2 linked regions of the Daphnia pulex genome follow. The protein of the gene in region 1 interacts with the protein of each later gene in a pairwise test. Links are inferred from orthologs where the notes say so. Each region holds a gene or a part of one and is shown on either strand. Other genes may lie near its edges.

Evidence for each region.
Region 2: the proteins of uncharacterized protein LOC124195356 (region 1) and MOB-like protein phocein interact in a two-hybrid assay, tested with the Drosophila melanogaster proteins (2 studies listed by BioGRID). The link is inferred for Daphnia pulex from reciprocal best matches to the Drosophila melanogaster genes rau and Mob4.

The regions. Positions count from the first base shown.
Region 1 is NC_060022.1:5,383,235-5,387,597, reverse strand, and holds the start of uncharacterized protein LOC124195356, read left to right. Parts: upstream 1-1,437; 5' UTR 1,438-1,459; coding exon 1,460-1,603; intron 1,604-4,363.
Region 2 is NC_060018.1:6,492,690-6,495,677, forward strand, and holds MOB-like protein phocein, read right to left. Parts: upstream 1,691-2,988; 5' UTR 1,562-1,690; coding exon 1,505-1,561; intron 1,443-1,504; coding exon 1,279-1,442; intron 1,216-1,278; coding exon 1,006-1,215; intron 936-1,005; coding exon 824-935; intron 767-823; coding exon 626-766; 3' UTR 519-625; downstream 1-518. Other genes in the region: ribonuclease P protein subunit p25-like protein, read left to right, coding at 1-174, 230-346, 413-518.

The DNA of each region.
Region 1 (4,363 bases):
TTTATTATAAATCGTTGCGGATCACGGAATACGATTATTCCTGGGCCATGCAGTTGGCTGAAACTGTTTTCTCTCGCTGTTTTTGTTTTTCTCAGTCAGGGTTTATTAAATAGCTCACGTGTGTTACTACAGATCAGGCCTGTTTTTGTACACAATCGAATTCAGAAATATTTGATTGACACACTTGAAGCAAGTGCAACTTGCAACAATTTTTCCCACAAGTCTTGCCGCCACACCGGCACTTTCTGGTTATTATACGTATAGACTCCACTTAACTGATGTTGTTGTCCGTGTGATTTATACCGCCTCATAAGACATTCGTCTCTGCTGCTGAGCCGTTCTCGTTTTTCCATACATTAGAGTCGTTTCTCCACGGGTCAAACAGCTAAATCAATTTCAGGGCTGATGCTTTTCCGCCAAGAGCCTATGGTGGTTATATTGGCGGAACTGGAAGGGAGAGGGAGGACAAGAAATCTTGAAATCTGAATGGGCCCTGCGTGCTTCCTGTCAATTCAAGGCGTGCGGTTTCCACGGTCGCCGAGTCTGCGGTGTATCTCTCCAGCCTTTGTGTGTGTCTATTCCGTCGATATATACGAGAGTCGGGAAATCAATTAGTCGAAGGTCTATCGGCTCTCCCAGCAGCTCACAAACCCCTTTTTCGCTCTTTGTCTCCCGACGTCCACATATATAAACTCGAGAGATCCTTCTGGCAAACCTTCGTGTGCAGCTGTTTCCCTTCAAACCCTAGTCAATAGAATAATATCCGTCTCGAGTCATCATTACTTATTCCTCCGTCTAATCAGATTCCGAATCCTTGGATCGATGGCTACTCCACTCTAAATCAAATGGAGGCCTTCGACAATCACCCGACCGTGCCCCCGCACATTACACATATCGATTCCTACAGTAGAGAATGCAACGAGAAAAAAACGTATTTGTTATATTGTGTGGCAAGGGGGTACTAAACGGTTATATTCTGTGATGATTGTGTGAGTGTTGAACGAGAGGAATGTGGGCAGTAGCTGTTATCCTTGTCAATAGGGAGCAATAAATCCTGCGTTTCCTAGTCGCCGGACCCTCATGACATTGCTATTTTTACGGCTCACCAGACCGAGAATCTATTCAAACCGTGCACAAAGTGTGTAGTAGTAGACTCTTTCCCTCCTCCACATAGTAAGTAAATAAGTTAAAAAAGAAAAGGAAAAAGTAAAGTAGAAAAAGAAAAGAATGAAGAGGAAGAGCCACATAGCCCTTTGACAACAGCAACAGAGAACTACAGACGATGATATGCCCCGCCGGATAGGCATCGGTGTGATCATCGAAGAAACACCTTTTTTTTTTTTTTCTTTTTCTCCTTTGCTGCTCACCTCTCCCCCCTTTTAAAGGAGAAGGTTCAATATTTGCTCAGTAGGTTCGAAACACTTTTTTGGCTATTGTCGTTTCATTATTAGTCGCCTGAATGGCACCCACGCATTCGTCTGCACCTTACCATAGACAGGCGATTTTACTTTCAATAATCTGTCGGCGCGTTGAACCGGCGACACTAGACTGGGTTTTCTCTCTCTCTCGTCATTCCGGTACGTCCCAGTGGATCTCCATAATGGTATCGTACTACTTCTTGTTTGTATTTACTGCGATTTAGCACTTTAATTTCTACAAAACAGCAGTCCTCGGAGAGTAGAAATACTTTAGCTCTGTATTTCTTTTCTATTTGGGCTGGCTTCTAACATTGTCTACGTTAGACTAAGTGGTAGCCGTCCAAAAATAACTTTTTTTGTTGTTGGGTGATGTGATTTATTTGTCTGAGTCTTCTCCATATGTGAGTGTGTGTACAAGTCAGCTTATATACAAGTCCGGGGACCGGAATCGCTTCATTACTCATATGTTTCTCTCAATGTTTCGTTCTCTTGTGGGTTTCGACTCTTTCGGGGTGTCTGTCCGCCGGCCGACATGGTGGCCCGTATTTTCTTGTTAATTTCGCTTCCTGTTGTGTGTGCGCGCCTGCTCCTTCCTTGGCCGATTTCGGTAGGAAAAATCTTTTTGAGTCAACTTAGTGCATGTAAGTGACGTGTGGGCACGTGAGCGCGTACAAGAAACAAAAAAAGTTTGTTCTTCTTCTTCTTTCGCCCCCCGTCCGGATGTCGTAGAATTTTTTTCGGGTAATAATGAACGGTCAGCTATTTTTCTTAGTCTCGTGTTGTATTAACGTTGCGTGTGCCGTGACCTGTGCGGATGAACTCGGTTTTCCTTTTTGGTTAAAAATAAGAATAAAAAAAAGCGTGCTGCTTCTTTTTGGGCATTGCAGCACAAGTCCCATGTTGGTATAATCGTTTGTATTTCTTCTTCTTCTATATTCGACCGCTTTTCCATTTCCTTTGGACGTCCCTCTCCGGATGGACGCTTAACCACGTGCCTACTTGACTAGCCAGATATCTCGCGGCCATATTATTTCTTCTTCTGAACTTGACGATTCTTCTTACTTGAGTGTGTTATTACGTTTGCTATGGGCTATAGAGTCCTTTCCTTTATTCGGTTAGTCGCTCCCCTTTATTGCAGCTCTTAAGAGACACACGACTGTCCATCCTGCGACAAACACTGGATATAAGGGCTGTCGGCCGTACGTACCGTATCGTTTTCGGTATCGCGCGCCATACTTTCTTTCCTCTGCGTATTTTCTTTGGTAGAATCAATAAAACTCGTAGGTTAGGGTTGCAGTAGTTTTTTTCTTCTTCTGGCTGAAGTGGAGGGGTTGAAAATCTAAAAAGAATTGATAAGCCGATTATTTTTCATACAAATCAGTCTACACAATACTGTGGAAAAAAAAAGAAATGGGAGGGTATTTTTTCTCCCCTTTTTTGGAGAGAAAAATAACTCTTCTAAGTCTTCCTGACGCAGTGTTATACGGGCGGCTAAATATTTCTACAGTAGCTACAATAAATTCAAATTCAATACGCGGACTGTAATAACTTGTGACGCGTACGAGCATAACTTAAGGGATTTGTGGAGTGTAGCAAACAGCTGTCTGAGCTGGCCGAAAAACCGAATTTTCACGAAGCAGAATTTGTGTCTTCTTTGGATCAACATTTCGGTGTTGACCCAAAACAGCCCGAAAACTCAAAAGCCCGTAACTCGAAACTTGTGTGGTGTATATATATATTGCGCTTAATGTATTTTCGGTGGGGGGCGACTTGCGCAGTGCACTTGAAACAAAAAAATGGAACTTGTAATAATAACGTAAACAGATTTTTGACGAGTTTATTTCCAAGAATCATTGAAACAGAGAGGCTCTCGAGATGATGTTTTGTGTAAAATTATATCGGCTCCTTGTTTTTCTCTCACACAGTCACACAATTTTAGCAGAAACACAATGAACGATGCGACAGTCAATTCTCAGACTTTGGGGTAGAAATAAAAAATAAAAATTAAAGAAATGTTTGAAAGGATTTTCCTTGACGTGATGGACGAGAAACGCCCGCGCGTCACTTGTGTATCGCCGTCTGGTAAAGTTCTCCTTTTGTCTTTTGGCTCAGTTGGTTTCCTTCACTTTTTTGGGGGGTTTCGTTCTCGTAGCCTATGGTTTTGAGGGGAACAGCAGCTTACCGGCATGCAATCTGATTTGCATAACGGGTGGCGGGATACGGCGGACCGTAACGCAACAACAGCCAGGAACAATAAGAAACAACAAAACAAAACAAGAAAAGGTAAAAATATCCCAAAACAACAGGAAGAGAAGAAAAATAAGCTGCAGTCAATCAAACGTATCCGTAGGGACAAGACAAAGCCATGAGAGAACCACCGCTAATCGATTCAGTATATTCGTATATAATACCAGTTAAGATTTACATGTTTTCTGGTTGTTGTATCCTTCAAGGATTGATGGCCGACTGGTTATTGGCAATTGAATACTCAACGATTCCGGGATGCCTATCGAGAAAATTCATTTTTTTTGTTCTTTTCCTGGACACTAACGAAATCGAGAACCCGACAAAGTGTGTTAAACATTGGCCCTTGTGGTTCCGTGTTCTTGAATGACATCAGCGACTGTTGGAACCGCAAAAATGCATAACCGATCGCCGATTTTTTCTTTCTTTCTTTCTTCTTGACTTTTTAAGACCCCGCAACCGAATTAACAGCTGATTGTTCTCTTTCCCCCCCCCTACAACAACAGCCTGGAGGCCATAATAATTTCTGTTTTTGCCTTTTAAAAAGAAAAAAAAAAAATTTAAAGCCCAACAACACAAAGTTCCTATACCGAAGGACCGGTCCCCTTTTTTTTTATTTTAACCTTCCTTTTCCTGTTTTGCTGTCAGCCATCGAGAGAGTGTTTCATAGCCCGTGGTCGTATATAAAGGGAAGAAGAAGA
Region 2 (2,988 bases), on another chromosome or scaffold:
ACCAGGCAGTAAAATGACAAACCTTATTGAATTTGCCTTAAAATCTATGGAAGATAATAAATCTCAAGTGTGGTCTGGAACTGGGGCAGCAATTGGAAAAACAATAAGTTGTGTTGAAATCATGAAAAGGAAAATTCAAAATTTACATCAAATATCTAAAATCTCATATCACAAGTACAAAAAATACATAGTAATCTTTAATTTTATTTTAACTAACACTCTTCTCTAGATGTGAGGAATATTGGAATCCTAAGAGTGATGAACTTGATTCCCTTAGAGTTGTTCGGAATATTCCTTTAATACACATTTTGTTGTCAATTGAGCCATTGGATTCCAATGAACCTGGGTATTATCCATACAACAATACTTAATGAAATTGATATTAAGTTGTTTATTTGCTTCTATTGGACAGGTACCAGTCTTCTCAAGTTGATGTTAAAACCACTGAGGCTCCTGGAAAGATGAAGAAAAAATCAAGGGCAAGAAACAAAAATTACCACAATTTTGGAACCAAATGAAAATTTATTGAAGACATGAAATATGATGAGTGTTCCTAGAGGGGATGAACAAAGTTGTTAAACTGCAATAACATCAAGCACACATTAAAGTTGTAATAAATGACTGATTATGCCTCTGACTCAGCAGAATGGCCAATAAAATTGCCAGTTTCAGTTTCTTCAAAAATTGGTACAATCAATATTTCTTTAGACATTAAGTTGTACTTGGTAACAAATTCCGTAAAGCGGCGACAAAGGAAAGTTTCATTCTAGAATTATACAATAAAATTAGTAACATCTTACTGAAATAAATAACAAAAACTAACCTCAAATTCATCGAAGAGATTCCTATGATGAAAATAGGCATGAGAAAATATTCTATAAACTCGCCGACACACCGATCCTAGCTTGGCCACAGAAGATTCTTTAATACTTATGCTAAAAATATAAATTGAAGTCGGTTAATAAAGTAAAACATAATACACGCTGCTATTTTAGTTAAACTTACCGACTTGGAAAATACTTATTACTGTTTAAAAGACAAGCAGCACCATCTAAGGTATGTCTGGTATAATCAATAGCAGGACATTCTTTCGGAGTTTTATGTGCAGCACACAAAAATATCCATTGATCTGTTGCTGTCATTTGTGTACAAGATTCAGGGTGACACTCATTTTGCAGCTTTACTGCTATACCATTCAGTTCCATGCAAAATTGTCTGCAGCAGAAGGAGAAAAATATAATTCTCTTTCAATAGCACACACACATCGTTATTACTCACCTCAGATGTTCATATTTCCATACACCTTCATCTTGAGAATCTGGGGCTTTTAGAATTTCATCTATGGCAGTGAAATCTTTACGAATGAGTTGTTGAATATACTGCTGCACCGCTAACGTACTATCCATTTCTTCGAACATTTCTTCGGGCCAGCGGTAATACTCCTGAACATGCAAATCTTTGGTAAAGTTAATCTTAATACCAAGATCATTATAAAAATACAAACAATTGTTTTTGTTCCAGGTCGATTTCTCCTTTCCGTTCGGCATTCTACATCCGCCATTTTACACTTAATTAGACGCTTTTGATTGAGATTGAATGTACACAACAACACAGGGCGCCTCCTTTCTTTCACACAACTACGTCATCAACCTCCCTTTCCAACATGGTCTCCCACTGATGAGCTTTGAGGGGGACTGACTACACACTGTATGTAGAGATGGCGCTAGTAGGCGCTTTCTGAATTCTGACACTTTATGCTTTATGCACCCTTCAAGTCTTCAACTCGCCATGTAAAACGGAAACGCAATGTAAAACCTGAAGATCAATTAGATGTGCAATTTTGATATTACGTTACTGGCTTTAGTGTCGAGTAGATCTATACCATAAGCTTCTGTTAATAAAAGAGAACGTATACTAACCAACACGATAGATTTATAACTCGCTAATCCGACTTAAAATCTGTAATCGTTGCACACGTAAATGTAACTTAATTTCCCCAACAGGTTTCATTGTTTCATGGTGACCTGTAAGTTCCTAGTCTTACTGTCATTTAAACAATATAATTTTACGCTGTTGCATGTGAAAAGATTTAAGTATTGAATCGAGGAAACCAATAATTTTGTTAGTTTCCATAAAACTCCGAGAGTAGTGATATTTCTCCAGATGGTAAAAAAGAAATTGAAGAAAAATCAAAATCGGTGTACACCCTTTTCAGTTCCGAGAATGGAAGCGGTGGAAGCCCCCCTCGAAATGATGTGCACGAAAAGAACTGCTGTGACCTAGATTGCCTTTTTGTTCAATTCGATACGACTAACGGAAAAAATTCCGTATAGTCAGCAGTCTCATCCGTTACATGAATCATTCATTCTTTACTTTTTTGGGGTTTTATTTACTCTGCACTGCACTTGCTTGCTGTGATTTCACATTGGGGGTACGCGGATTTGGTTTTGATAACCACTTTTCTATTTGGATTTTTTCCCATCGAGTGCATCATTCCGCACTACTCGCTCATCTGAGCGCAGGGTTCTGCTGGATTGTGTGCTGTGTACAAGTTCTCACTGCTTTGATAAGTTCAGTTCACGGTACTTACAATGTCGCTGCTGCTGTCACGCTTTCATGCACTGACGCAATAAAAAAAGAACTGGTCAAAGTGTCGTAAACTTCCTCAGCATTTAAAAGAATTCGTGCTCGAAGGTTGACTTCACAAACTTGTTTTTAGCTATCCATCGCATGTGTGTTTTTTTATCCGTTTCGAATTAACTGTTATATAGAGAAAAATACCAACTATGGGTATAATAGTTGGCAATTTTGCAATTACGATTTACCACCGCACAGACAGGCTGAAAAAAAAAGTTTAGTGGGCTCCGGAAGAGTAATAGAGGTCAACGATTGAGAAGAGGCTGGTGAAAATGCAAATTGCTGGACCCTAAAAAATGAATGAAAGCTAGTTGCTGCTGGCCTCCGCCTCCTCCGCTATATATTCCGTCG